Mus musculus: one gene and its partners. The protein of the gene in region 1 binds, or shares a complex with, the protein of each later gene. Links are inferred from orthologs where the notes say so. Each region holds a gene or a part of one and is shown in the gene's direction. Other genes may lie near its edges. The genes, in order: Arid1b, Phf10, Dpf3, Dpf1, Smarcc2 and Smarca2.

Region 1 (4,822 bases):
CTCTGAGAAGAGATTCCTCAGCCATGCCTCTGACTGACACCATAGGCTCTCTCGTTGTGGTGGATTCTCTGCTTCTCTAAGGAGAGAGATGCTTAGAGCAGGCTTCCAATGTGGTGTTTGTGATTTTAAAGAAAAAGCATGAAGCATATGAGAAGAAAGCCCTTGTCCTCTCTCTGGTGAAGGGAAAGACTAACTGTGGAGCCCCTCCCTCCATGGTCCTGGTATGGTTGGTGTCTTCCCAGGGCAGCGGAGCCACACTCAGGCCCTCTCACCAGGTAGAGCCAAGGGAGGAACAGTGAGTGGGAATAACTTGATTTGAGGGGTGGGTGTGAGAGATCATGTCAGGTATCTTCTGGGAGCCAGTGCAGCGTCACTGGTTACCAGGGTGACAGGGTGAGTCTCGGTGTACAGTGCTTTGGCTATCCCTCATACCCTGATCACATGTGATGGATCTGTTGGTACGCCCTGCTTTCAGTGAACAGCACCGATGCCTGATGTGTGGGATGAGGGTTAAGTTCAGCCATTGTGGATCCTTAGTGCAAAGCTTAGGGCTTCAGTTGGCTTGGGTTTTAGGATCCAGTAAGAGCTACTGTTTTGTTTCTGTTGTTTTGTTTTCCAATGAGATTAGGCAGCTGTACCAGGACAGACACCCCTGGGAATCTCCAGTGAGCTTGCTGTCCTGCTGTGGGCCGGGCTTTGGCTCACCCATAGCAGAGCATTCTGCTGCATTAGCAGTCTTCTGAGAAGTGCTACTGCCTACCTTAAGTTTCATCCTTGTCAGTTAGGTTTCTTTTCTTTAAACTTCCTTCTAGAGTCTTCTGTCTATTTGGATATGGCAATCTGTTTTTTTTCCTATTTTCATTTCTTGATCACATTAATAATATATTCAACCCAGTTACTCTCCCCTTTCACAAGATTCAGTATTTCTAACCTAAACCAGTTTATTTTCAAAGTTTAAGATCTATCACCCTTAAGCATGTTAATTTTATGGCATTTACCTTTCACAAGTGTGGGAGCAGTTGAAATGACCATTTATCTGTTTCTGTGCAGGGACTTGACGTTCCCATCAGTCAATGTTACCGTCGCCTTCCCGACTCTCAGTAGTCAGGAACTTAGACATTTTGACCAACCCTCTGCTAAGGATAGCTTTTTTATTATTTTTTTTTATTTTATGTACATGGTATATGTGAGGGTGTCAGATCTTGGAGTTACAGATGTTGTGAGCTGCCGTGTAGGTATTGGGAATTGAACCTGAGTCCTCTGGAAGAGCAGTGTTTTTAACCACTGAGCCATCTCTCCATCTCCCATGACGTATAGCTTTAAACCCTGTGTCCTCAGTGAGGAAGCAGAAGATGGAAGCATCATCCATGTTCTGATACTTCTGGAAATGCTGCTTCTGAGCCTCTGTCTCTTCTTGCTTCTTGCTCCCATGACAACACCGTGTGGCTCTTGCTGGTGGAAGCTTCGGGGCGTGGGGCTTCCGCCTCCAAGGAAGCCTGGACAAGCACACACAAGGCTCTGCCTGCCCAACCGGTATCCCTGACACCGGTTAGCAACAGCCTGAACTGGAGTTTGGCTCGCCTCCTGAGATGGGTGTTACCATCTCTGTAAGAAGTTGGGGCACAGCTGTGGCCTCCTGTGCTGTTGAAAGCAGTGTGTGGGGAGAGGCAGAGCCTTGGGTAGAGCTTCTAGAAATGGGCTGTCTGTGTCTGCCTCAAGTCCTGAGGAAACTAAGTTGTCTTTGAATACTTTGCTCTAGGCATGAGGCTTACGGACAGCAGTACCCAGGCCAAGGCCCTCCCACAGGACAGCCACCGTATGGAGGACACCAGCCTGGCCTGTACCCACAGCAGCCGGTAAGTTGGCCAGGGGGCATGGGCCTTTATCCCTTTCATTTGCTGGAGACTGAAACCCAAAGTTCTTCTTGTGAAGATTTGGGGAGAGCTAACAAAAGTCACACTCTTTACTGAATCATCAGGGTAGGTCTAGCTAGAAAATACTCCTGGGATTTTGAACTCAGAAAGTTAAAAACAGCTCTTGACAGGCAGTATTCTGGAATCTGTGCAGCGTGCTAGACATGTGTCTATGCTACCCTCCCCTCCTGCCCACGGGTTTTAGACCCATGAGCCAACCACAGGTCAAAAGGCAAGTGCACAGGGCATGTGCAACCCCTCACTGCTGTTCAGTCAGCAAAGAGGGCACAGCTCTTGGGTAGCTTTCACTGATATTGTAGGACGTATCTGAAGTGACTGAATGGCAAAGAGTGTGTATCTGCTGTAGCAAGCCCCAGCCTTCTTCACTAAGGGACTTGACTGTTCATGGATGTGGCCCTCAGGGGTCCTGAAGATAGGTAGTCTCTGCAGATGCCCGAGGACAACTGTGTGCTATTTAGTAAACGCACTGTAGGAAAGAAGTGTGCCATACTTCAAATAAAACAATAAAAGAAACTCAGACTGTTGGAGACCAAGACTGCTCTTTAAAATAAGATATTAATACTACATATTTTGGTGGGCAGTACTCTAGTTGCTGCATAGCTGACTCCCCCTTAAAGAACTTTCACTAATTTTTTCTTTAAAATGATAAATTAATGGCATATTTTGTAATAGGCTAGTTCATGCTGTCATCCTTCACAGCTGAGTCTTGTAAAACCTAACTTGCAGAAGTCACAGTGCATCCTTACAGTTGGTGAGGTAACTCGCCGTGAACAGTTTGAAGTTAACTGAAATAACACAGTGCACCCCTCGGCATCTCCCGCCCACCTGTGGGCAGTGGTGAGAGAGGCTCTTGGAGGAGAGCTGAGCAGGAGTGTGTGGAGGCACCAGTAAGGGCTTTGTGGAGAACTGGGCACAAGTTGAGATATGGGCAGCAGGTGCCATCGTCCAGGAGCTGTGTCAGCATAGAGGCTCTGCCAGCTATTGAGATCTAGGGTCCCTTTAGCCCAGAACCTCCCAGAATGGCCCTGAAATATCCAGTTTGCTTCATGAGTCAGAGCAGCCTGGCTCCTAGGGCGCTCTCAGTCCCATCTGTCCATGTGTGCTGACGTGGTGGACAGCCGTGCTGTACTGTCCCCATGTTTCCCAAGGAGAGGGGTCACAGGAAATTTCTTACACATGAAAACAAACCTAGGCACCCCTCCTAAGAGTATGGGGCAATACTGAAATACAAGCCTAAACTGATAGTGCTTGTCGGTACATAGGAGCGTCCCATATCCATTTTGAAATGAACAGTCTACCCAGTAATAACTGTTTTGCATAATTTCAGTGTGTGTGATTATACCTCTCAGAGAGCATGAGTACGATTTGTCTTTATATGGATTTCAGAATTACAAACGTCATATGGATGGCATGTACGGGCCTCCAGCCAAGCGGCACGAGGGAGACATGTACAACATGCAGTATGGCAGCCAGCAGCAGGAGATGTATAACCAGTATGGAGGCTCCTACTCTGGCCCGGACAGAAGGCCCATCCAGGGACAATATCCCTACCCCTACAACAGAGAAAGGATGCAGGGCCCAGGCCAGATGCAGCCACACGGAATCCCACCTCAGATGATGGGGGGCCCCATGCAGTCATCCTCCAGCGAGGGGCCTCAGCAGAACATGTGGGCTACACGCAACGATATGCCTTATCCCTACCAGAGCAGGCAAGGCCCGGGCGGCCCTGCACAGGCCCCCCCTTACCCAGGCATGAACCGCACAGATGATATGATGGTACCTGAGCAGAGGATCAATCACGAGAGCCAGTGGCCTTCTCACGTCAGCCAGCGCCAGCCTTACATGTCATCTTCGGCCTCCATGCAGCCCATCACGCGCCCACCTCAGTCATCCTACCAGACGCCGCCGTCACTGCCAAACCACATCTCCAGGGCACCCAGCCCCGCCTCCTTCCAGCGCTCCCTGGAGAGTCGCATGTCTCCAAGCAAGTCTCCCTTCCTGCCCACCATGAAGATGCAGAAGGTCATGCCCACAGTCCCCACATCCCAGGTCACCGGGCCCCCCCCACAGCCTCCACCAATCAGAAGGGAGATTACCTTTCCTCCTGGCTCCGTAGAAGCATCACAGCCAATCCTGAAACAAAGGCGAAAGATTACCTCAAAAGATATTGGTAAGAATTTGAAAGGACTGTTCTGGAAATGGATTGTGTTTTGCAATCTGGAACTTTTAATTTAGACATAATTCCCATATATCTCAATTGGATGAGAATCTCAATAATACAAATTATTAGGCTATTTATATATGGGAGCATTGGTTAAAAGCCACTCATCTGAATAAAAGGCCAGAGAATAGACTGAATCTAAATGATCCTCTGAGGTGCAAAGGACAGACTAGCACTCCAGGGACGAGGCCCAGAGCTCCTCAGTGGCACATGCTATGTGCTGGCTTGAGCTTCAGGCATAACCAAGCTGCTTGACTGCTACAGTGGATGCTTAAGAGATCCACTGGAGGCCAAGGAAACTGAAGGCCAGCGACTGGAGTGACAATATAAGATGAATTCCCATGGGGAAAATAGAAACCTGGCTATGCTATATAGGGAGGTAGATATGATATATGGATGGTCTCTGCTATGATATATTCAACTGATGTAATCTACACCACACTGGCAGATACAGGCCAAGGAGTTAACCTCAGCTGAATGCTAATATTGCTCGCTTACCCTCTGCGAGGCGATGGGAATACTAATTAATGGTCTGGAATGCCCGGTAGTTAACACAGCTTTTTCTGCATTCATTTTGAAGTTCTTTTAACACAGCAGAGGAAATAATAGCTCTTCGTTGTGTAAGAAAAATTTTTTCAAAGATTTCGGAATCAGTTGGCGTAAAACC
Region 2 (5,614 bases), about 9.6 Mb from region 1:
TCCCATAGGTTGCTTGGTCAGAGTACTTTTTTACATCAGGGAAAGAACTAGACAAATCCCAGGTTCCACATTATATATACTATATTTGTCTCTCGTCTCTCTCTTTCTTTTTTCTTTTTCTTTTCCTTCTTTTTGTTTTGTTTTGTTTTGTTTTGTTTTGTTTTGTTTGTTTTTCGAGACAGGGTTTCTCTGTATAGCCCTGGCTGTCCTGGAACTCACTTTGTTGACCAGGTTGGCCTCGAATTCAGAAATCCACCTGCCTCTGCCTCCCGAGTGCTGGGATTAAAGGCATGTGCCACCACGCCCGGCCCCCTCTCTCATTTCTTAACTTTCAAATTTTATAACATTAAAATCTTTTTGTTTTTTAATTGCAAGTATGCTCTTTCCCACCTACGATGCCCTTAAGTTCAGTTATATATATTTGTGTATCACTTTATCTTGAAGCTGCAGACATCCTGCTCTATGGCAGGCACTCCCTTCACCTCTACATTATTTGTCGGCTCTATACTTCATGTGGATACACTATATATATTTCAAAGGAGGAGAGAAGTGCTGGGCTTACTTTCTGGAGCTAGAAGCTGTGGCTGTGAAAGGGAACTCGAATTCTAAAATCCAAGAGCTAGATCACCACCACCTTTTCTGGTTTGGTCCCCTACATTCTTGGAAGTGTTGTGGGGAGTGGAGGGGATGGGGGGTGGGGGATGTAGGCCTGCCTCTCTGCCCCTTGCCTTTGTCCATTGGACCTGTTGTCTTCCTGGTGCTCTTTTCAAAGGGTGGGGTACGGCCTTTCCTGTGGCGAAGTCTAAGCACTAACATCAATATAAATCCTGTCCAAACACCATTGGACAATTGGCTTCCATTTCCAGGAATTCCCAATCCTGTGTCCTGCAGGTGACTGTGCTGACTCTGTCATATGATTTTGGGAACCTTCCCTATGTTCTCCTTGCCTGACTGGGTTCCGTTCAACCTGAGTGCTGCTGTGACTTTTCCCGTGGCCATGGGGGCCACTACGCCAAGGTCACAGGAGAAGCAGTTGTAGAACAAATGAGCCAAGAGCGCCTTGGGGATCCTGGGGTGTGTGGAGTGAAGATGGAGAGGTGGGGTGGAGAAGTCAGAAAGGACTCAGGAGAAGGGGATCTCAAAGAGGGAGGAGGCGGAGCTCCTGGGGTGGTTGACCCTAAGGGCTGCGAGAGAGGAGGAAGTGGGCTGAGGACACTAATCCTTCATTTACAGAAGGGAGCGAGGACCCTGGTGGAGAAGGGGAGGTCGCCGCGGCTGTGGAGACCCCGGGCTGAGAGGAGGGGCTGGGGACCGGTAGGGGTGGGGTTGGTGGGAGGATACCGCGCGGTAGGGACCCTCAGCTAAGGTGCTGATGATCGGGAGTGGGGAGGACACGGCGGCGTGGTGGCGACCCCGGGCTGAGGGGAGGAGCTGGGTACGGGGGAGGGATTGGAGAACAAGCGTGGTGAAGACACATCTTTGAGGGGAGGGGCTAGGGACCCAGGTGGGGACAAGGCAGGCACCGCCGACTGAGGACCCCCGGCTGACGCGCAGCGGAGGAGGGGAGGGGGCGGGACCGCGGCGGGGCGGGGCGGCGCGGAGCCGCGGCTGACGCGGAGGGCCGGGCCGGGGGCGCAGGGAAGGGGCGGCAGCGAGCTCGCCAGGCGGCCAGGAACCCGGGTGGGGCCGGGACCGAGGCGGTGGCTGGCCAGCGGAGCTCAGGCCGGGCGCGGCGCGCCGGGTGAAGGCGGCAAGGCGGCAAGGCCCCGGCCGAGGCCGGCGGAGCCGCGCAGCTGCGGCCGGCTGACGTGAGCGGCGTGCGGGTCCCGGCCGGCAGCGCGCTGGCGGCCATGGCGGTGGCGCTGGCGGGCCGCGGGGCGCGCGGCGGCAGGGGCCGGCCCCCGGGCGGGCGGGCGGAGGGGGCGGGGCCGGGGCGCCGGGCGGCCCGCGCGACAGCGGCGGCAGCGGCGGCGGCGGCGGCCGCTGGGACTAGGCGAAGGCGGCGACGACGACGGAGGCGCGGGGCGCTTGGGCTGATGGCAGCGGCCGGGCCCGGGGCGGCGCTGTCCCCGGGGCGGTGCGACAGCGACCCGGCCTCCCCCGGAGCGCAGTCCCCAAAGGTGAGCGGAGCGCGCTGCCCAAGGGGCAGCGGCCCAGGCCGGGCTCGGGAGAGAAGAGGAGACCGGGCGGCGGGTCCTGGAGCAACAAGTGCGGCGGACAGTGGGCGCGGACGTCGGGGAGACCTGCGCGGCGGGGTGGGAAGTTGTCCGGGAATAGCTGGGACCGGGGGACTCGGGAAGAGTGCTTGAGACGAAGCGCCCCCAGCCTGGGAAAGTCGGAAAAGTTGGCGGCCTTGGGGATCTCAGTCGGGGAGACGCTGAGCGGGACGTGCGCTCGGGGTCCCGAGTTGGCAGAACGTGGTTTCACACCCACAGACCCGGCCAGCCGAGGTGGCCCCCGCCACGTGCCGGTCCTCCCTGGTGGGGTCTCTGACTGCTCGCAGGGGGCTGCTGGCTCCCTGTCCTGACCGAGGATGGTGCGGAGGGGAGGGCCTTACCTGGAACGTAGCCCTTAGGATTCCTACAGTTGTGAGCTGGTAAACTCTGTGTCAACTTCCGTTATTGTTTCTTTTCGAGAGGATCATTGTTTTTAAGTAAAAGTATTGACATACAGAAATCCTTAAAATGTCCACAAATTAATAAAATAGTGCTTAAAATTAACGGTGTCAAGCCAGTATGGACCATGAATACAGTGAAAAACATACTAAGAAATTTAATTATCTTTCAACTTCTTGATTGTTAGCTTTAAAAGGGAATATTAAGTCTACTTGATTTCATTCTTGAAGAGTGAAAAGGGGAATGATTTCTATGTTCTTTTTTAATTTGGAAAGTAATTTTAGTAAATTCCTAGGTGCTGGAGACATAATGAAATATAAAGTCACTGCTAATCACAACGTTAACATATATCAGACAGCTATGTGCTACCTGGCTCTTATGTGATCACTTCACTGCATCCTTGCATCAGCCACCTAGGCTTTAGGACTGGGGAGAAGCTTGCAGCACACAGCTGGTGGAGGGCAGTGCTCAGTAAGATTCTCTGGCAGCCCGCAGTGCCATGCTGACTTGGCATGCTAGCCTGTGCTGCCTTTTCATTCCCTTCCGTGGGCCTTTATTGAAATTTATAGTAAGAGTAGTAGTGTTAGGAGCTATAGTACCTTGATTTAAAAAAAAAATAGGAGTTTAAGCCTATTAATTAACGTAATGAATTGTTTTTAAAACATTTGATTACTTATTTCCTTAATGGAATGGCTCAACAACCTATATCTCCTATGAGTTTATCACAAAGTGTTGAATTTCTGCCGCAGAAGAAAAGGAATGTAGTTAGACGTGGTAACCTGTATCCAGTCCTTCTTCATCTCCAAAGTAGCTAATTAAAATGCGCCTCCGGGGGGCCAGTTGTAAGCTGAAGGGTACTATGAAACTTACTAGTATTTATTTCCCAGCTCAAATAGGAAGGCTTGCTTTGATTTTTAAAGTGGTGTGGCTACTAAAAAGCAGATGTTTGAACACAATCTAGTTGGTAAGAAAGTGAAAGCAGAGTACATTTAAAATACAGTTGAAAATTTAATTTCATTTCGATTAAAGGTCAGATTTTAGTTTTATTCATTCTTAAATTTTCTAATTTTTTAATCATTTAAATGTACAGGATGATAATGAAGATAACTCAAATGATGGGACCCATCCATGTAAAAGGAGGCGAATGGGCTCAGGAGACAGCTCAAGAAGTTGTGAGACTTCAAGTCAAGATCTTAGGTACTTTAAGGTTCAGTAGTAACTTTCGTAGACTTTTGCTCACTTCTTCTTCTCCTGCCTATTCCAGGCAGCAGAAACAGTTATTAAAAATTATATGTGTTGGCTGGAGAAATGGCTCAGAAGTTAAGAGTGCTTGCTTAACTGGAGGTTGGTTAGCAGCCCCACATCTCATCTCATAAGCTCCTGTAAACTCTGGAGGATCTCATGGTCCATTCCGGCCTCCACAAATGTCTGTATAGAGAGCAAACAAACAAATCTTCTAAAAAAGTCATATACTATCAAAGTAGGTCTCACTCCTGATAACTGTTAAAAAGTTATGGTAAAGTAGGTATATAAAACTCACCATTGTAACACTTTTTATATATAAAGAGTATATTTCAGTACAACCATCACTCTCGGCCCTTTCCAAAACTTTAGTAACTCAAACTGCCTAACCCTCCAGTACCTCCCATCCCTTCCTGCCTCCAGCTGCTGGTTACCACAGTTCTACTTCCTGCCCTGAGTATGAACCAGACAGTACCTGCCCCGTGTTATCTGGCTTACCCATAACCATAGTATCTTCAAGGTTCATCGTGTTGGAGCTCCTTAAGTCTGAACAATATTCCATCGTATGTTCTGCTACATTGTGCTCATTCACCTGCAGGCTGGGGTAGTTAATGCTGAAGTGAACACTGGCATTCAGACCCCTGTTCTTAATACTCTGGTATATAACTAGAAGTAGAAAGCTGTACCACACGTTGATTCTGTCTTCAGACTTTTTAAGGACCTTCCATACATTTCCATAGCAGTAGTACCAGTCTGCATTTCCACCAACAATACACCTTGCAACATTATTTTTGCTCATTTTGCTGATAGGCGTCCAGAAAGACATAAGGTGATCACCCACTGTGATTCTGTGTTGTATACCATGGCTAGTGGTGCTTGCCGAATATTTTTTAGGTGCTCTTTGATCATTTGATTTATGTTTTTGGAGAAATGTCTATTTACTTCTCTGTCCATTTCTCCACCCCTACCCCAGTTTTTGTTTTTGTTTTTGTTTTTGTTTTTTTGAGACAGGGTCTTAGTATGTTTCTCTGGCTGTCCTTGAATTTACTATGTACATGAGGCTGGCTCACAGAGCTAGATTAAAGGCATGCACCACTGTGCCCAGCTGTCCATTTCTCTTTTATTTTGTGCTGATGAGTTATGGGGCTCCTTTATGTATTCTGCATATGAATTCCTTTATCAGGTTTGTAAGTAATTCCCAGCACTCTGGCTCTTTCCCCCTGTAGTTGATAGTGTCACTTTCTAAAATCTAACTTTAATGTCTGCTTTTATAACTTTTGTTTTGAGTGTTAAGTCTAAGAATCTGTTGCTAACATAGGGTTTTCTAGGCAGCTCTTACATTTAGGATTTTAATTCATTCTGAGCTACCTTTTGGATGTGATGTGACAGGAGGTGAGGGTCTTTTCTGTAGCTTTGCGTGTTTCTGTTCTTTTGTAGCACCAGGTTTGGGTGCTTCATGAGCTAGTTTTTGAATGAATAAATGAAGCAAACCGTGGTTGTACTCCTGCCTCTAATTTAGAAGTTGGATTATGGAGATCGACACGTTCCTTCCCGACTTTGCTACTCAGGATTGCAGCTGAGTGCAGCACACTGCAACTTTCAGATAGATCTGGTCTTTGCTTCTGGGTTTGTAAAGTATAAAGAAATAAAATTATTGCTTATTGTCCAGTTCATTGAGAAAGCAGTTCTTGGAATTTCTGCTTTTCCAGTTGTCTGTGACTTACCTAGCGATAAATAAGGGTTAGAAGTTGCTTAAG
Region 3 (4,822 bases), on another chromosome or scaffold:
CCCTTCTGCGTGAGTGCCAGGCTCTTCAGAGGTGACAAGCGAGAGGAGCCTTGTTTGTTTCCCAGGGGCTTGCCAACGATTAAATGACAACAAATGAAACCTCCCATGGCTGTATCCCCCAATTGTAAGATGTTTGTTTTAAATCCTTTGGTTGGGGGCTGGTGAGATGACCCAGTGGGTAGAGGCTATTGCTGAGCAAGCCTGCCCACCTCAATTCCATCCTTATTGGAGGGCCAGAGCTGCTTCTGCAAAGTTGACCTCTGACCTCCACACAGTGCCCTGCCCCCACACTCACACACTAGTAATGGTAATGATAAATCTTTAATAGGATCTGACCCATTGACTTAAAAAAAAAAACCAAAAATCCTGGTTTCTAACAAACAGTATGGAATGTGCTGTGATTAGAAACCCGTGTATTGCTGTTGGGATTGTGAAATGGCCCAGGAACTGTGAATAACAGAAAGATACTTTAAAAAAAAAATTTCCAGATGGTCCACCAAATCTACTCTTGGGCCTGAACTCAAAATAATTGAAAGTATAGGCTCGATATTTGTACCTGTATGTCTGATTTCTCTAGAGAGTATAGCTATATTCATAGTGACTTAAGCATGAAAGCAATCCACGTCTTCATTGACCACTGAGCTGATAAGCAGAGTATGGGATATAGAAATAGTCTAAAACAGATGGGTATTCTGACATACGTTACAGCATGGACGAATCTAGAATGCTGTAATATGCTAAGTGCAATATGCTGTCCTCAAAAGATCCAAATCCTACGAAGTACTTGGCTAGTCAAAATGACAGAGGCAGACAGTGGCGGGGGACTGGGGGAAGGGGGAAGAATGACTGTTTAATGCTTGTTTAGTTCTGCTTTTAGGAATGAAGAGTTCTGGAAATGGACGCTGCTGTCAGTTGTACAACATAAGAACTCTTGATACCTGTTATGATTTGAGTGTAGCTATTCGCCATGGGCCCTGAGTTTGGCACTTGGTCCCCAGGTGGTGGTATATTTTGGTAGCTGTACAACCTCTGGGAGGGAGGGACTGGCCAGAGGAAATGGGGCAGACATTTATAACAGTGCTTCAAATGACTTACTCAGTTCTCCAGTTTGCCCTCACAATCTTTGTGGCCCCTCCTCTTCCTGCCTTCATGTCCCTCCCCTTCCTGCCTCCACGCCTCTCTATCCACAAGGCTCGGGTTCTCCTGCCAGAGGTTATGCTGTTGTATTTGGGTTTCTCTCTTAGCTCTTGCCCTAGATGCGCCTGTGTTTTATATGTTAGGTTTTTGCTTTCACTGTTTTTTTTTTATCTGCACAATTATATCATTGTCATGGGTTGTGTTTTTTGTTTTGCCTTGACATTATGTTTACTGAGTAAGATCATCACTTGTCCAAGACTATCAAAGATTCACAGATATAAAATTGACTGTTTAGTCAGATCACCACCCTACAAATCAGGATAGATTTTTATTTGTGGGTTCAACTTTGGGCATTGACTTGCTTTGAGTTCAATTATTATTATTATTTTTTTTTAGTTAAAAGTTTGTGTATGTGTGTGTGTGTGTGTGTTTATGCCACATACATGGTGCATGCCTGTGGAGACCTGAAGAGGACATTAAATTTCCTGGAGCTGGCATTACAGGTGGTTTTGAGCTGTCTGAACTGGATACTAGGAACCAAACTCAGGTCTCCTGGAAGAGCAGTGAGTGCTCGTAACATCTGAGCCTTCTTTGTGGCCTCACTATTATTCTCTGACAGTTTTATACACCCGATGCATTCTCATCTCTCTTACCCACTACCACCTGTCTTGTAGCTTGCTTACCTCATCAGCCTTCCATATACAAGTTCCTGTCTCACAATCTTGTCTCTTGGTTTTGTGACCTACTATGTTTAACCAGGGCTATGTGGCCATGGGTGTGGGGCTCTGCACTGGGGCCTAGTGGACTCACTTTAGTAGGCATACAATTAAAGACAGTGACTCACCCTTCCATAGCATCCCTCAGCAATTTCCAGGGGAGGGGAGTCCCACATTAGTTTAAATGCCTCTCTTGCTTGTTTTTTGAGCAGAGAAAGTTAATTATCTTAATCTTTGGGCTTAGAAGATCTACACGTGCCCTTCCTCATATGCTTTTTACAGTGAATGGCTGTACCTCCATGGGACATCTCTGCTCGTGTAGTCTTTATCCTAAATGCTTTATTCTAAATTCTCTGTCATAATGGGAGTCTGGGTGTGCTTTGCAACTAATGAGAACAAAGTGTGGGGAATGCTAAAAGAGAGGGCTCTGGCAGCTGGATGTTCTAAGTCCTAAGCAGAACATTGCTATAGAATGTCCCACCTCCAGGGACATCTTAGTACAGGGTTGGTCACGTTTACTGGTGGTTTGCTCTTTGGGGCCCATTTTAAAGAAGTCTCTAAGTGACCTGGTAGATTTGGGACAGGAAATGGAATCTGGTAGAGATTTGTTGACAATTTGTATTTTGTCCCTTAATAGGGCTCTTGGTGCTCATTGGCTGATTGCCATAAATGCAGCTCTTCTGGAGCGACGGTAGGGGACCGCTTCCCTCCGGTTGTGTTTCTACTTCCTCTGGTCTCACCCCATTGCTCTCTTGTTTCCTGAAGGCTTGGGGACCAGTTCTACAAGGAAGCCATTGAGCACTGCCGGAGCTACAACTCGAGGCTGTGCGCAGAGCGGAGCGTGCGTCTCCCCTTCCTGGACTCGCAGACTGGGGTGGCTCAGAACAACTGCTACATCTGGATGGAGAAGAGGCACCGCGGCCCAGGTAAGTCATGCCACTCCCAGCATGCACAGCGGCTCCAGCTTGGAGGAAGGAATACTATGGTGTCTAGGAGTTCACACAGCTGGGCCGGGTTGGGAGTTAGATAAGCTAGACTCACAGTGAAGAAATTTAGCTGTGTATACAGTTTATCCAAGGGACCAGACAAAGATGATGTGAGGTGTTTATCTCAAAGAAGTCCAAAGAAAGCAGTCTTCATTTTCCACCCTCGGGTGTTGGCTAAAATCTGTAAATGTGTTTAGCTGTGGGTGAGGCTTAGTTTTGTCATCAGAACTCTGTCCCCGAGGCTTGTCGTCTGTGGAGTGTGGATAATCTCATTATTTACTACACGGAGTTTATCAGGATTAAATGGAGATATCTATAAACAACTCAACATACTATATGCTCTAAAATGTTGAATATTATCATTGTTATGACTGTGATTCTAAACTTCTGGGCTTCTAAGAATAGAATAAAACCCACTGGTGTAGATTAGGGAGATAACTAGTTCTAGAGATGCATTTTTCTGTGGTCATATTTACTTATGTTAAAATATGTGTGTGTGTGCTCACATGCATGTGTCTATACCTGTTTCCATGTGTGCATAGGGTGCACGCATGCATGCATGTGTGGTGTGTTACATGTGTGCATGCAAGTACCTTCCTTCCTTAGTTGTTCTTCATCCTGGTTTTTGAAACAGGGTTTATCACTTTTGCCGGGAGCTTGCTGATTCAGCTTGGCTGTCTGGCCAGTGAGCCCCAGGGATCTGCCTGTTCTCCCACCCTCCCCAGCTCTGGGATTAAAAGTGTGTGCATTTATATGGTTTCTAGGGATTGAACTAGGTTCCATACTTTCATGGTAAGCACATTGCTGACCGAGCCATCTTTGTAAACCCCCTCTCTTTCGGTAAGGTCTCACATAGGCCAGGCTGATCTAACTTTCTACGGAGCCAGTGACGACCAGGAACTCTTCCTGATCCTCTACCTCTCAGGCTGGGGTTTGTAGGCCTCTGCTGCCACTCCTTCATGAGTATAGTCAACAAACCTTTTCTGTTGTTTTGAAAAGTTTTATATATATGTAAAATTCAGATAATGGCAAAATAAAATCAGAATCCGCACGGCCAAGCTCCACAACAGGCAGCTCATGGCCGACTGTCTCATCTATGCTTAGCTTTCACCTTTCTCCCTGACTCCGGATGACTTTGAAGTAGATCTGGGACAGCACATCATGTCACGTATAAATACTCTGGACTTAAAATGTCAAACTAGTTGGGTGCCGTGGGACATGCCTGAAATCACGGTGGTTAGGAAGCTGAGACAAGAGGATTGCTAGTGTGCCTGGGATGCAGGACAAGCCTCTGCCTGAGAGGACAAAGGAGAAGATCAAGCCAGCCCAGGACCACTACCTAATCAAATGGTCAACATTCATTTCTCCTGCTACCTCTACTGTAAGCTAGGGTCCAGACAGGATTCCTGCATTGCAACTGTGACACTGCCCTTAGACATCTGCAGGCTTCGCTGAGACTCTTTCTCCCTTGTATGTTATTTGTTGAAGAAACTGGGTTGTTTGCACTGTAGGGTTTCCCAGAGCTCAGATTTGCTGATTGCATCCCCATGGTGTTATTGCTGTGAATTGGTAATTAGGTCTGGAGACTTATTCAGGCTCTCTCTCTCTCTCTCTCTCTCTCTCTCTCTCTCTCTCTCTCTCTCTCTCTCTCTCTCCTCTCTCTCTCTCTCTGGCAAAAGCAGGTGGTAGTTTGGGCTTTCACCAGGAGGCTCATGCAGCCTGATTATCCCCTTTCACTCACGTTACCAGCCCTTCGTGATAACTATCCAGATTCTTATTCCATTAAAGAGTTGCAAAGAACCCCCCCCCAAAACCAACCAACCAAAAACCCAGTGTGGCATTTGATTAGAGGCCATGGTGGTTTTTCATTTATTAGCTCTACAGCCTCTGTAAAGAAAAACATCCCCTCATTAAAACGTTTGGTTATTATGAGGTACAGCTGACAGGAGATAAAGGATGTTTCCCTTGTATTTATTTACCAGT
Region 4 (4,822 bases), on another chromosome or scaffold:
CTGATTAGGCTTTGCAGAACTGTCTGCTAATCGTTGGCCTAGGCAAACTTACTTAGGGGTGCCTAAGGGGGTGCCCCCTACATGATGGGGGCAGCCATGGGCTCTTGCTAAGGTTATACCTATCTCTCAGACTTTTACCCAAATAGAACGTATGGTTACCCCAAGAGTTAGGGTTCTGGTGAGAATGGCTTGCCCCTCCCCCAGCTTCCTTGCTACTTCCCAGTGCCTGGGCCAAGGGTCCCGCCCCTGGGGCTGAGGCTGGGGACAGATGGGACCTTGCCTATGGTAAGAGCCCCTTTCTGTCCCCCCACCCCCAGAGTTTTACAAAGAATTGGCCTGGGTCCCCGAGGCACAGAGGAAACACACAGGTAGGGGCACCTCCCTCCTCCCCGACTTCTGCAGCAGTCTTTGACTGGCACGCCTCACCTGTCCTGTGCCCACCGCTGCCTGCTGTCTTTCAGCCAAGAAAGCACCAGATGGCACTGTCATCCCCAATGGCTACTGTGACTTTTGCCTGGGGGGCTCCAAGAAGACTGGGTGTCCCGAGGACCTCATCTCCTGTGCGGACTGTGGGCGATCAGGTGACACTCACCACATATTTTCTGGAAGATGGCGGGGAGAGGGCATCTCAGAATCTGGATTTAGGGAATGGGAGGCAAGGGGAGCGAGGGCTGTACCCCGCCTGTCCTTGGGACTGCCTCTGCTGCCGGGGTCTGTGGGAAACTGAGCGGACTTGCTGGCACAGGAGGAACCAACAGTACGAGGTGCCATGGCTTTGTGCTCTCCCCGGGTGGAGAGTAGAGAGAAGTTAGGGAGGCATTGTGGGTAGGGGACAGAGCTATGGGAGCAATGAATTGCACCGCCTAGGTAGTGGGAATAGCAGGATTGTGTTCTGTAGAACTGTGGTTAATATAATGTGGTTTTCCATGGAGGCCTCCTGGGTAGTAAGACTGGTCGCATCAGCATCGTGGGTAATGGATTGTGGTCGTTACAGTGTGGGTTGTCTTTGCGATTTAATACAGTAGAATGTGGTCATTATGTCTTGGTGGACTGTGGCTGTGAGGAGCTGTGGCTACTGGGCGCTGTGGGCTGACAGGCTGTGTGGGCTGTTGGTGTCTGGCTCGGGGGGATGTAGTTGTAACTGTTGGGTGTTGTGGGCAGTGGCTGTTGAATGATATGGGTAGTGGTTGTCAGGCTCTGTGGGAAGTGCTGTGGGCAGTGGCTACAGGTGTCTCCGTACTGTGGGAGAATGACTGAGCAAATTCCCACGGCAAGCATTGTCAGTGGAAGTTTGTTTGCTGGTGCCTTGTGTGGGCTGGCCTTTGGTCTCAGCGAAGCAAGGTGTGGGGACCCTGTTATGGAGCTTGGTTGCCATAGTGTCCTGGCTGGCAGAAGTTGGCTGCCACGTTGCTGTGGTTAGCAGGAGGGCTGGCAGCCCCTCTGTGGGTATTGGAATGTGGCTGCCCTAGTGCGATACCTAACAGACTGTGGTGGCCACAGTGTTGTGGGTGGTAGAACGTGGTTGCCACAGCACTGTGGGTAATGGAATGCGGTTGCCATGGTGTTCTGGGGAGCAAAGTGTGGTTGTCATGGTGGCTGAGTAGGAGACTGTGGTGGCCAACACACAGCTGCCTGCCACGCAGTCCAGCTTCCGGATGTCTGTCTCAGGGGTAGGGTCCCACCACAAAGCTCGCCTTGACCTCAGAGTCAGGGCTTGGGATAGAGCCATTACCTCCCCAGGGGTCAGTAGCCACCAGGGATATGACAACTCACTAACTGCATCCCTGCCCCTCGACCCCCAGGACATCCCTCGTGTTTACAGTTCACGGTGAACATGACCGCGGCTGTGCGGACCTACCGCTGGCAGTGCATTGAATGCAAGTCCTGCAGCCTGTGTGGCACCTCGGAGAATGACGTGAGTGCCCACCCCATCTCCCGGGCACATCCCCAGCTTCCCTTCCGGCCTGCCTCTGCCACTCTGCCCATGAGGCCTAAAAGTCTTCCTTGTTCATAACTCCCAGTGACCAGCATTAGCGTGCAGTACGGTTGCCACCGTCCTTATTCTTTTATATTCTTTCCCATGACACCTCCCCACCTCCCTTGAGGCTGGTGCTCCTGTTCCCACTACACATAGAAGATGCTGAGCTCAGGGAGGGAGAAGGAGGCCTGAGGTCACCAAGGTCAGAAGGTTGTAGGGCCAGGATTTGAACCTCCGGAGTTGGTATCTGGCCCGCTGAGCATCACTCAGTACAAAATCCGACTCCGTGAGTCGTCAGACAAGGCCAGTGGACTTCCACAGTACAGGCTGCAGAGCCAGTTTTCTCAGAAGGGCCCCTGGGACCCAGCCCCTGCCCCAGCCCCCCACCCCGGTTTCTGGTGCCCGTGCCCCCAGGGTGCCAGCTGGGCGGGTCTCACCCCCCAGGACCAGCTGCTGTTCTGTGATGACTGCGATCGAGGTTACCACATGTACTGCCTGAGCCCTCCCATGGCGGAGCCCCCGGAAGGTGAGGGAAGGGGTGGGCGAGACATGGGGTGGGTGGGTTGGAACGTTGTCTTCCTGGTGGCAGAGACCATGTGCTCCGGGTGGGGACAGGTGGGGGGCGCTCTTCATCTCTCCATCGGGCTCCAGTCTAATTTTGTCTCTTGGCTTCCCCCGCAGGGAGCTGGAGCTGCCACCTCTGTCTCCGGCACTTGAAGGAAAAGGCCTCTGCTTACATCACCCTGACCTAGGCCCGGCTCTGCTTCCCCAGGATCTTTGGGTGGTGCTATCTCCTGCCTCTTGGAGCTCCTGGCGCTCCCCACCCGGTGTCCCCAGTGGAAGGGATGGGGTGAAGCCCAGAGTGGGGGGGGGCAAGGTGTTCTCCCTCTGCAAGTGGAATGTTACCCTGTGGGTGGCTGGGTCCAACAGGGTCCCTCCTGTCCCCCCTCTTCATCCCTTGACAAATGGGCACCAGGCTTCTGCTCTCCTCAAAGCCATACCCCCGCCTTTGGGCGGGCATAGAGGGGTAGTGGATGCTAGCCAGCAGCACGGAAAGAGCCTTTTTCTAAAGAAAAAGACAAAACGTGGAAAAAAAAGGGAAAAAAATTAATATATACAAAGAGTCCTATAAAGCCTGGCTGGGTGGAGAGGCACTGTTGAGTGTCTGCTGGGGACCTGACTTTACCAGTTTCCTGAATGGCGCCTCCCCACCTCATTTCTGGAGTTGCAATGGTCTCAACTCCCATCTGAGGTGGGTACCACCCCTTCCTCAGTACCCACCGTGGATACTGCATGTGAACTATGGTTTTGAACTCTTCCTCCTCCTCCTTGAGAGCCCCGCCCTGCGCCCGCGTGGTGCCTGCCTGCCAGGCCTGGGGCGTGCAGCCGGGGAGGCGGGTGGGGTGAGGCAGGCAGGCAGCCAGCCCCCTGCAGTGAGAAGCACAGATTGCAATGGACTCAGTTTTTTTTTTTTTTTTTTTTTTTTTTCCTTTCTCCCTTCCCACCCCTTTCCTTCCCTACCCAGCCAGGCTGGGCTGCCTCCTGCCCCCCTCGCTAGCCATTTGGGGGTGGCAAGGGGGTGTGGTTGTTTCTCGTGGTTGTGTGTGTTTGTTGTTCGGGTTTTTAAAAGGGGAAATTGAGACTGCAAGTGGGGGAGGTGGAGGGTCTGGGGGAGTCTGCCCCCAATCCAGGAGTACCCCCCTTGCCACCAAGTCTCCTTTATTGCCTGCCTCTGCTGTGAATTAACTTGTTCTGTGTATTAAACTGGGCCTGACCCCTCTGCCCACAACTGCTTCCATCTCTAACCTCTTTTGGGGTGTCACCAACATGGGAAGCCAAGGGGCCTCACTGGGGTAGAAGCCACTGTGGCTGGCCCCCACCTCTTTGCCCCTACACCATGCCTCCCTGTGGCTTTGTCCCAGCTCCTCCCTGTCTTGCTGGAGAGAAGAGGGGGATGGGGTGGAGGGGCTCCCACCCAGCCAGCTGTGGTTGCCATAGCAACGGGCTGCTGCAGCTGCAGCGGGAGGCAGCTCAAAGAGGGAGGTGGGAGTGAAGACTGGGGGGAAGGGAGGGCTGGAGAGACCAGAAGGCAGCCCCCTCCCTGGCTAGGGTTTGGGAGATAGCACCTCAGCATGGCTGGCTGTCACTTGGGATTCCCTGACCTGGGTGTGGTTAAAAGTGGAGGACAGGAGGACATCTCAAAACACAGGGATTCAAGGAGACAGGCAGGGTGGGGTGGGGGTGGGTGGGGGTGGAGAACCAGGGCAATGGTCAGGAAGGAAGATGGTTCTGAGGCCACAAATGTACTGAATGGAAAAAAAGGACAAAGCTGGAGAGATACACAGATGAAGAGAGAGTCCCAGGAATTCCGAGGGAAGAGGACAGGGACCAGGGACGGGGTGGAGGACTAGTCCAGTAAATAATAGTTTAAAACAAGAAAAAGGAAAAAAAAAAAAAAAAAAAGCCAGGCTTTGGCAAGACCAGGGGAGGGAGAAGTGGACAGCTGTTTGGAGAGACAAGCAGAAAATGTACAAAGTCAGAGGGAGAAAATGAGATAAGGGGACAGGCAAAGCCCCCAGACAAAAGACACGGGAATGAGCGAGACTTTTGGTTGGAAGGCAATAAAGAATGTAAGGGACCGCCATCCAGGATGGTAACACACTATGTGGCTCAGAACTCCAACACTGGAGGCTGAGGCAGGAGGGACGGGGAGTTAGTTACACGTCATCCTGGGCTATAGCATGAGCCTTCTCTTTAGAAAGGGGTGTGGGGGTGCGAACAGACAACAGAAATCTGGAGAGTGCCAGGCAGATGAGGCCAAAGAGATAGGCAGACTGAGGAGAG
Region 5 (4,822 bases), on another chromosome or scaffold:
GGGAGGGGGACAAATCCTCCGAACTGGGAAGAGGTTTTTCGTTTGTTTTGCTCTTTAAAAAAATTTTTTTTCTACGTGCCTGTAATCCAGAATTAGGGAGATTGAGACTGGCGAATCAAAAGTTGGAGACCAGACTGATCTATATAGCAATTCAAAGACAGTGTGTGTGTAGTACCATGTCGAAAAAGAAAAGCAAAACTCATCTTTTTCAAATTTCAAATTTTGGGGAGTTTTTTTTTTTTCCTTGTCCATCAATAGTCAGAGCATTACAGCTTGACCTAGCCCCCAGTTGATCATTCCTGTTATTTTAGAAAAACTTCACAACCCGTAGTAATCTGAGAATGTCAGGTTTAGTCCTGCAGTGTTTCTCTCTCTCTTTCATGGTTGTTCTTGGGGGCTGAAGAGATAGCTCAGTGGCTAAGAGCACTCACAGAGGACCTAGGTTCAATTCCTAGTACCCACATAGCAGCTTACAAACATCCCTAGCTTCCGTTCCAGGGCATCTGATGCCTTCTGAGCATCATGGGCATGCAGGAAAAGCACTCACACATGCAGAAGAAATAAATCCTAAACCGGGTGTGGTGGTGCATGCCTTTAATCCCAGCACTCGGGAGGCAGAGGCAGGCAGATTTCTGAGTTCGAGGCCAGCCTGGCCTACAAAGTGAGCTCCAGGACAGCCAGGGCTACACAGAGAAACCCTGTCTCGAAAAACAACATCAACAATAAAAAAGAAAGAAAGAAAGGAAGAAAGGAAGGAAGAAAGAAGCCCTAAAAAGTTAAAAAAAAAAAAAAAAGTGAGGCTTTAGGTCAGATATGGTGATACACCTGGAGTGTCCACTACTTAGAAGCCTGGTTCAGGAAGATTACTGATTCAAGCCAGCCTAGGAAACTTAACAACAACAACAAATTTAAGAAAAGGGATCCTGGAGGTATAGTCCTAACAGAGCACTTGTCTAAACTGTGAGAGGCCCTGAATTCTGTCTTTAGTAACACAAAGGAAGGGGTAGCCCAGTGGATAAAGTACCTAGAACTACTCACATGGGTGGAAGGAGAGAACCGACAGCCTGTGATGTCCATTAGTGTACACATACACACATAACATATATATTACACACACACACATATATACACATACATATCCATACATATAACATACATACACACATATACATACACACATACTATACATACTCACACATGACATACATAGAACACATACATACACACATACATACATACATAGAACACACACGACATACATAGAACACATACATACACATATGACATACATAAAACACATACATAGAACACATACACATACATACAGAGAGATAGAAATTCTAAATAAATAGGTAAGTAAATGTAATTCCTTAAAAGGAGGCACTGGAATTTAGATTTGCATAAACTTGCCTTTATAGTCTTGTGTGTGTGTGTATGTATGTATGTATGTATGTACAATGTAACTTTCACATACTTCTTCCCTGTCTCAATTTTGTAGATCAAATGTTTCCTAGATTTCAAAGCAGGAGGATCCCTCTGCCATATTCTTGCAGCTGCCTACAAATTCAAGAGTGACCAGGGATGGTGAGAATGCCTTTTCTCTCTCTGCCTTTCATATTTAGTTAAGAAAGAACTTTCTCTTATTTCCTGGGGTCCCTCTGAAGTGAAAGAACAATGTAGAAATTCTGTGTGTCTCTTATAGATCAGAAGAATAGATGTCATGGCCAAAGTAGTCTCCAAGCATGAATGAATTGGGAATGAGTTCTTATTCTTTTGGACTAAGCGTGGAGTGACTCACGCATTTGAGACCAGAACAACTGGGTTCCCTGTGATTTGAGTGAAATTTGTTACAAGAATACCTCCTAATTTCCCACTAGGAAGTTATATACCTTTGGGGCTAGAAAGATGGCTCAGTGGCTAAGAACCCTGCTGCTCTTCCAGAGAACTCGGTCCCATTCCCAGCAACCACATGACTCACACCCTTCTGTGACCCCACTCTCAGGGAATCCCATGACCTTTTCTGGCCTCTATAGGCACACTGCACACACATGGCACACAGATATACAAGCAGGCAAAAGACCCAAACATATAAAATAAAAACATAAACTAAACTAAAAAAAAAAAAGAAGAAGAAGAAGAAGAAGAAGAAAGTAAGGAAACAAAAAGGTTCCCCAGATATAAACTTACTAGATTATCATCCTTTTATAAGGCGGCGTTACGATTTCCAGAATCCATCACGCATGGACCGCAATGTGGAAATGTTCATGACCATTGAGAAGTCCTTGGTACAGGTAATATACAAGCACATCCCCCATCCATTTCCCTCCCTTCGTTAAGAGTACAAAATAGCTCTTCCTCATCTTGTCTATGTCTCCTCTTCACAGAATAATTGCCTGTCACGACCTAACATTTTCCTCTGCCCAGAAATTGAGCCCAAACTGCTAGGGAAATTAAAAGACATTGTTAAGAGACACCAGGTGAGTGGGAGGCAGGGTGAGTAACTCAGAGGTTTCTGAAGTAGGTGACTGGTTTACACAATGTTAGCACGGTTTCTCATGACTGATAGTGTTTCTGTTGGGAAGCAGCTTGTAGTACCATACAAGCTTCCCACACTCCTGCGCTGTGGCCTTTCTGGTTAGAGTGAGAGTTAAGTCTTTGAGCAGCGCTTGTCCTGTTTGCTCCATTCCTCAGGTTTGGTGGGTTTATCAAGGGTTGCTCTTTCACCCTGCTTTGACCTGGGTGATAGAGAATGTCTTCCACTGAACTAGAGATACCTGATTTCAGAAAAATCCAACCTGGGAATCAGCTGTAGTGGTGTATCCTAGCACTTGGGAAGTAGAAACAGAAGGATCAAGAGTTCAAAGTTCCCTTGGCTACATAGTATGTTCAGGTCTGCCTGGAGTGTCAAGTGATACTGTTAAAACAGCCTCAATAAATCTCTGCTCTTTGGAGCTCCTTTTAAATAAGCAGATCTTATGGAATAGGCACTCATAGCCCACTTTGAATTTCCTATAGGTCTGATGGGTCAATGGGTAAAGTAAGTTCTTATTGTGCAAGCATGAAGTCTGGATGCCCAGAACGCATGGAAAATGTGGGTGTTACGGCTCATACCTAGAAGTGCCAGCCAGGAGGGAGGAGCAGGTAGATCCTGAGGGCTCATTAGCCAGCCAGCCTAGCTGAAAAGACAAGCCCCCAGTTCACTGTCACATTTCTGAAGTAGGTGACTGGTAGAGAGTAATAAGGGACACTTGTGGTTGACCTGTAGCTTGTGCATGACCACAGACAGTATACTACACATCTGTGCAGAGGGTTAGTCTTTAGCTTTTCTCCAGTGCTAACACATCATTAATACTGTGCTTCTTTGCCACTTAGGTGGTGTTGCAAGAAAATACAAACTAATTTTAATACCACTTCAGGAAAGATGTAATTTGAAAGGCAGATCTGGTTACATTTTAGTTGTTTTTATTTTCTTTCTTTCTTTTTCTTTTTTTTTTTTTTTTTTTTGAGATAGGGTTTCTCTGTGTAGCCCTGGCTGTCCTGGAACTCACTCTGTAGACCGGGGTGGCCTCAAACTCAGAAACCTGCCTGCCTCTGCCTCTTGAGTGCTGGGATTAAAGGCTACTAGAGAATACTTCAAAAGGAAGTAGATTTACTGCTTTTCCTTGTGCTTCCAGGGAACCATCTCTGAGGATAAGAGCAATGCCTCCCATGTTGTGTATCCTGTCCCAGGGAACCTAGAAGAAGGTGAGACTTGGGTTTTTGTGGCCTCTGCTGTGATAACTTGGGCTTTCTGTCACATAAAGGACTACTTACATCCTGATATAACACCTATGGTTATGAGCCTCGAAATCCTGAATTCCTGTTACTGAGTCTCCTGCACATCAGCAGAATGCTTAGTTAGAGCCTGTGTCCAGTCATTTTTCCCTTCAGCATATCTCTCTCTTCTATCCTCAGAGGAATGGGTACGGCCAGTCATGAAGAGGGATAAACAGGTTCTTCTGCACTGGGGCTACTATCCTGACAGGTGAGGACGGGTTCTCAAGAGCAGACACAGGTCCGTGTGGCAGAGCAAGGAGGCCTGAGTCAATTGTTTATTTACTTATTTGGGTTTTTTTGGGATACAGAATCTTGCCATGTAATCCAGGCTGGTAAAGAACTTGCTATCTAGATTGTGCTGGCCTCAGACGTGAAGCAGTCCTTGTACCTGAACCTCCTGAGAGCTGGGATTAAAGGCGTGAGCCACCCACTGGCTTTGTGTGTGTGTGTTTGTTCGCTTTTGTCTTTTTAGCTTTAATTTTTAGTTTATGTGTACGGTTGTTTTGCGTGCTTGTATGTCTGTACGCCTGAAACTAGAGATATAGATTGTTATGAACCATGTGGGTGCTGGAAACCAAACCTGGGCCCTGTACAAGAGCAGTAATTGCTTTAAATACTGAGCCATCTCTCTAGCCAATGCTTCTTGGTGTTTTGTTTGTTTGTCTGTTTGTTGTGAGACCAAATCTTAGAGCCAAAGTCATCTAGAACATCTCCCTTTACCTCCTCAGTGCTTGGATTGCTTAGGAGAGCCACCATGCCCAGCGCCCAGTTCCCAGTGTTTGCTCTTTGTTAGTTTTTCAAGATAGGGTTTTTCTATGTAACAGCCCTGGCTGTCCTGGAACTCACAGAGATCCATGTGCCTCTGTTCTCCAAGATCTGGATAAAGATGTGTACCACCGTCAAGACAGGATCTCACTATGTAATTTCAGCCAACCTGGAATTCACCATGTAGACCAGACTGGCTTCAAACTCAGAGATCTGCCCACCTCTGCCTCCTGAGTGCTGG
Region 6 (4,822 bases), on another chromosome or scaffold:
TGTATTCACACTTACACACACACACACACACACACACACACACACACACACCTCCAAAAGATTCTAGCGTTGTACATTTTCCTTATTGTATCTTTTAAAGAAGAATAGAAATCAAAACCATGGCTACAAATTCCGCAAATCCAAGTAAGCTTCGCACGTACACTTTGTGTTTCAATGGCCTGCCGCCCTGGAAGGACCAGTCTCTGCTGTGTCCAGCCCAGCCCCAGTTCCTCACCCACTGAATGGCTCCCCCTGGTCTGTAGCCAACACGCCGAGTAAAGATGAGCTATTCATATCCACCTTCCCTTAGTCCAGTGCTTCGGTGTATGTGTGTCTCGGCCTTTAGTCACTGAGACCTTGTTGTGGCTCGCAGTCCCGAGACACGTGCAGGAAGAACAAGGCTTTTTGTTTTGTTTTTCCTTCAGTTCTTTCTCTTCTGACCAAGGCTGAGTTATCTGCCTTCATATTGTTCACATGCCCTTTTGTGTTCAAACTATATTTTCAGGGCTGACTTGGATATTATGGTTTCACTTTGGAGGAATAAGAAAAAAAAAAAAGATTCGGTATTTCTTCCCTGCGTCCTTTGACAGGTCTATTTACTGTTTTCAGGTGGTTTTGTAATTTCTCTCTCCTGATTTGAGTAGCTTTCCAGAACTGTATAGATCTCAAACCCTCCAGCCGTTGTTGGGTTTCGGAACCATAGGAGGAGTCTGCTACATCGCTCACTGTCTTTATATACTTGGGAATTGTTTCTTATGAGATTTTTTTTTTTAAATGAAGTGTAAAACTGTCGTGCTTTGTGGCAGCTTATTTCTAACTTGCCTCTTACCTGCATAGCTTTAAAATAAATATGTGTCTGGGATAGTTTATATTCTCTAGCCCCTCTTAGGGCAAGGGCTAGAAATAAGTAACAGGTTTCCAGTAACTGACTTTTATATATGTGTGTGTACGTGTGTGGGTTTTTACTGTTTTTCGTTGTTGTTTCTTTTTGTAGGACTCTGTCTAACTGGACATATGAATTTGACAAATGGGCTCCTTCTGTGGTGAAAATTTCTTACAAGGTTTGGAGCATTGTGTTTCTATATAAACCTGGAAGAAAAAAAAAAAAAACACAAACCCTGAGCTATGTTTTCTCCCTTGCATGTGCACATCTGTGAACTGTATCTGGCTGTAAAGTTTTGTCATGTACATCATGTACTAAACAGTGAGAGTTAATCATCCCAAGAAGATTACTGTAATAAACCATAATTACTTTCAGATAGTGAAATGCAGAAGAAAATTGTTAATTATCATATTGCGAGGTTTCTGATGAGAGTAATACAAATGACAAATATCACACTTTTCTGTGTGCTGCTGACTGGCTTGCTGTGGGCCTCTACTGTGCCGACAGCTCCTCCTGCCTTGGCAGGCAATTACGGGGCACCGGGCTGCCTGCTGCACTCTCCCACAGAAAGAGAGCCTTTCAGCCAAGCAGCGGGTTCCCCACGACTACTGCAAGCTCACTGCAATTTCCTCCTCTCTCTCTCTCTCTCTCCCCTTCCTCAGTCGTAAGTGGGAAACCTTCCTGTAAGGACCTGGAAAGGGTCAAGATACGTGTGGTTTAGCTTCCACTTTCTTCAGAGATAATAGATCACTATATGATAATACATTTATGTGCACATCGCCTGTCCAGGCTCCATTAAGCTCTGAACAGTGAGAAATCGCACCTATGTGCTTCCAGTGGGTAATCGATGTATTTTTCTTCCCATTCAGGGTACCCCTGCCATGCGACGCTCCCTCGTTCCCCAGCTACGGAGTGGCAAATTCAATGTCCTCCTGACTACTTACGAGTACATTATAAAAGACAAGCACATTCTTGCAAAGGTATGGTTTTTTTTTCTTTAATTTTTTTTTTTTTATCTCTAATTGTGGATCATCTCACTGGAGTATAAAGTATCCTGCAAATTATACTCAACAGTATCATTTGGTCATTGGATGGCTGGATTTTTTTTTTTTCCCTCTTCAGGTTTTTTTTTTTTCCTCCTGAAATCTTGGTCACAGGATTTAATATTTTTGTATGGTATTTTGTGTGTGTTTGTGTGTGAGAGAGAGGGAGACTGGGGCGGGGGGTGGGGGGACTGAGAGAAGAAGAGGAGGGGAAGAAAGAAATGCCTTCGGTTGATGTACCCTGGGCCCTTTCCTGGTCATTTGTAGTGAGTTCCCATCTTTTTGGGTTGTTTAGGGGTTTTTTTTTGTTTGTTTGTTTCTTTGTTTTATGAGTATGAGTGTTTTGCCTGCAGACATACAAGTGTGCAGGGCCTGTGGAGGCCAAGGGGGGCATCAGACCCCCTGGGACTGGAGTTAGAGAGGGTTATGAGCTTCTATATGAGCACTTGGAATAGAACCCCGATTCCCCTGCAAAAGTAGCCATCTCTCCAGCCCCACTTACACATCTGTTAAGAAAATTCACCTGGGTTCCACTTCTCTCCAGCAGCTCTGAATGTGCTTGGAAAGAAATAATTGTTTTTGTTGCCCTGGGTTACTGTCAGCAGGGCTTCGTTCCTCTTGTGCCTCTCTCTCTCTCTCTCTCTCTCTCTCTCTCTCATAGGCACCTCTCCAGATGGTGCCCCCCACCAGAGCTTGTCTCCAAGCTGAAGCTTGTGTGCTTTATCTGTTTTCAGGTTTTCCTGGTAAAAAATAATGGGCCATTACTGTTTAAATTACTCAGGGCTGCTCGTGTGGCTATTTCTTTGGCACAGAGAAAGAGTTGTGTCTGTGACCCTCCCTGGCTCCTCATTTGAATGTCCAAAGTTGTCCTTTAGCCACAAATGAGAAGGTTCTCTTCCCATTTATATCATGTTGTCTCCTAATGTATTCACACAGGAAGATGGAAGTACCGTCTTTCTTGGAACAAATCATGAAAACTTAATTTCCCCACCCTCCTCCCCCCCTCTCCCCGTGGTAATTTCTTTTACCCCATGGTGTTTGGAAATCAGTCTAATCTAAAAGTAAGTTATGGTCAGAATTGAACAGAATCCCCATTGCTGAGTTTTGTTCCTTCTCTGCATTAAACCTTTGCTCTGGGAGCTGTGTGTTCCCTTCATGGTATCATAGGAAATAACATAAAGGAAATGCATGCCCAGGGGACACTTAATAATTGAGACGGCACTGACAGCAACCGCCGCCTTCCAGTTCCTCATGCTCCGAGATGAATTTGGCAGTGTCAGAAATGACGTGTCTCCAATATTACTGTGGGAATGTGTGTGTACCTTTGAGATCCCTAAAAAAAAAAAAAAAAAAAAAAAAAAAATCTGTGTCTTGTGCATATGTATTTCAAAAGTCGCCAGAGACACCCCGTAACGAGACGCCATGCTTTTATTTGTTACTGGAGAAATGGTACTCCCGAAAGGGGTAGTAATTTTTCCAAGCAGAAGACTTAATTAGTACTTACTTGGTGGTGGAATCAAAGGTCTCTGGTTCCTTTGCTGCCTCCCAAGCTCCACTGAGGAAGAAAGTAGATTTAGAACATCTATTTAGATGCATTTTTTTTTTAATCTTTTCTCTGCTGTTGGCAAGTTGACTGCAGGACTTTGGTCAGTCTTACACAGCTGGTGCTGGTAGAGAAAAGGGTGCAGGGAATGCTGGGAGTTTCTTTTATTTGGCTAGCCCAGCTTGGCTGATGGTTTTCCTTCTTTTCCCTGGCTTCACTGGTACTTCTAATGAGGAGGTGAGAATTAGGCCACACTTGCCTGTCTGCTTCCTCTGACTTTCACCCCAGAGCCAGAGACAGTGGAACAGCAGACTTTCTTCTTCTTCTTTCTTCTTTCTTCTTCTTCTTCTTCTTCTTCTTCTTCTTCTTCTTCTTCTTCTTCTTCTTCTTCTTCTTCTTCTTCTTCTTCTTTCTTCTTCTTTCTTCTTCTTTCTTCTTCTTTCTTCTTCTTTCTTCTTCTTTCTTCTTTCTTCTTTCTTCTTCCTTCTTCCTTCTTCCTTCTTCCTTCTTCTTCTTCTTCTTCTTCTTCTTCTTCTTCTTCTTTCTTCTCCTTCACCTCCTCCTCCTCCTCCTCTTCCTCCTTCTCCTTCTCTCCTTCTCCTCTTCCTCCTCCTTTTCTTTTTCTCCTCCTCCTCCTTCTTCTTCTTCTTTTCCTCCCCTTCTTCTTTTTCTTTTCCTCCTCCTCCTTCTTCTTCTTTTCCTCCTTCCTTCTTCTTTCTTCCCTTTTCTTCTTCTTTCTTCTTCTTCCAATATCCCTTTTGTGTAGGCCTGAGTTTCCCAACCTGTGGATTGAGACCCCTTTGGGGGGGGGTGTCAAATGACCCTTTCACATCACAGCATTGGAAAGCACAGATATTGTTTCTAGAAGGTGGATTAGAATCACTTGTCCTGGGAGAAACATTGATGCTTTAACGTTGGCCAGGCATGGGCAATGTTCCATTAGTTGGGAAAGAGTATCATTCTGTGTCTTGTGCCAAACTGGATTCTGTGTTGCTTTTTTCCACACATGCCCGCAGCCATTTGGAAGCCACTGTACGTCTGTTTCCCAGCCACACCTTGGTGCGTTCTTTTGTCCTGCAGATTCGGTGGAAGTACATGATCGTGGACGAAGGCCACCGGATGAAGAATCACCACTGCAAGCTAACCCAGGTCCTGAACACACACTATGTGGCCCCCAGGCGGATCCTTCTGACTGGGACCCCACTGCAGAATAAGCTTCCGGAACTCTGGGCCCTCCTCAACTTCCTCCTCCCTACAATCTTCAAGAGTTGCAGCACATTTGAGCAGTGGTTTAATGCTCCATTTGCCATGACCGGTGAAAGGGTACTGACCAAATGGGGGAGGGGATGGGGG

What was found.
Region 2: Arid1b (region 1) and Phf10 share a complex: the UniProt entries of both Homo sapiens proteins name them as parts of the neural progenitors-specific chromatin remodeling complex. The link is inferred for Mus musculus from reciprocal best matches to the Homo sapiens genes ARID1B and PHF10.
Region 3: Arid1b (region 1) and Dpf3 share a complex: the UniProt entries of both Homo sapiens proteins name them as parts of the neuron-specific chromatin remodeling complex. The link is inferred for Mus musculus from reciprocal best matches to the Homo sapiens genes ARID1B and DPF3.
Region 4: Arid1b (region 1) and Dpf1 share a complex: the UniProt entries of both Homo sapiens proteins name them as parts of the neuron-specific chromatin remodeling complex. The link is inferred for Mus musculus from reciprocal best matches to the Homo sapiens genes ARID1B and DPF1.
Region 5: Arid1b (region 1) and Smarcc2 share a complex: the UniProt entries of both Homo sapiens proteins name them as parts of the neuron-specific chromatin remodeling complex. The link is inferred for Mus musculus from reciprocal best matches to the Homo sapiens genes ARID1B and SMARCC2.
Region 6: Arid1b (region 1) and Smarca2 share a complex: the UniProt entries of both Homo sapiens proteins name them as parts of the neuron-specific chromatin remodeling complex. The link is inferred for Mus musculus from reciprocal best matches to the Homo sapiens genes ARID1B and SMARCA2.

What each region holds. Positions count from the first base shown.
Region 1 is NC_000083.6:5,333,205-5,338,026, forward strand, and holds part of Arid1b (AT-rich interactive domain-containing protein 1B), read left to right. Parts: intron 1-1,759; coding exon 1,760-1,856; intron 1,857-3,320; coding exon 3,321-4,104; intron 4,105-4,822. UniProt on the Homo sapiens protein: Involved in transcriptional activation and repression of select genes by chromatin remodeling (alteration of DNA-nucleosome topology).
Region 2 is NC_000083.6:14,957,617-14,963,230, reverse strand, and holds the start of Phf10 (PHD finger protein 10), read left to right. Parts: upstream 1-1,970; 5' UTR 1,971-2,036; coding exon 2,037-2,120; intron 2,121-3,705; coding exon 3,706-3,812; intron 3,813-5,614. UniProt on the Homo sapiens protein: Involved in transcription activity regulation by chromatin remodeling. Belongs to the neural progenitors-specific chromatin remodeling complex (npBAF complex) and is required for the proliferation of neural progenitors.
Region 3 is NC_000078.6:83,368,461-83,373,282, reverse strand, and holds part of Dpf3 (zinc finger protein DPF3), read left to right. Parts: intron 1-2,618; coding exon 2,619-2,779; intron 2,780-4,822. UniProt on the Homo sapiens protein: Belongs to the neuron-specific chromatin remodeling complex (nBAF complex).
Region 4 is NC_000073.6:29,313,822-29,318,643, forward strand, and holds the end of Dpf1 (zinc finger protein neuro-d4), read left to right. Parts: intron 1-317; coding exon 318-368; intron 369-461; coding exon 462-581; intron 582-1,802; coding exon 1,803-1,915; intron 1,916-2,392; coding exon of another isoform or gene 2,393-2,422; coding exon 2,423-2,504; intron 2,505-2,659; coding exon 2,660-2,730; 3' UTR 2,731-3,765; downstream 3,766-4,822. UniProt on the Homo sapiens protein: May have an important role in developing neurons by participating in regulation of cell survival, possibly as a neurospecific transcription factor. Belongs to the neuron-specific chromatin remodeling complex (nBAF complex).
Region 5 is NC_000076.6:128,461,483-128,466,304, forward strand, and holds part of Smarcc2 (SWI/SNF complex subunit SMARCC2), read left to right. Parts: intron 1-1,498; coding exon 1,499-1,584; intron 1,585-2,209; coding exon 2,210-2,291; intron 2,292-2,384; coding exon 2,385-2,477; intron 2,478-3,674; coding exon 3,675-3,744; intron 3,745-3,954; coding exon 3,955-4,024; intron 4,025-4,822. UniProt on the Homo sapiens protein: Involved in transcriptional activation and repression of select genes by chromatin remodeling (alteration of DNA-nucleosome topology).
Region 6 is NC_000085.6:26,677,322-26,682,143, forward strand, and holds part of Smarca2 (probable global transcription activator SNF2L2), read left to right. Parts: intron 1-994; coding exon 995-1,061; intron 1,062-1,752; coding exon 1,753-1,863; intron 1,864-4,549; coding exon 4,550-4,792; intron 4,793-4,822. UniProt on the Homo sapiens protein: ATPase involved in transcriptional activation and repression of select genes by chromatin remodeling (alteration of DNA-nucleosome topology).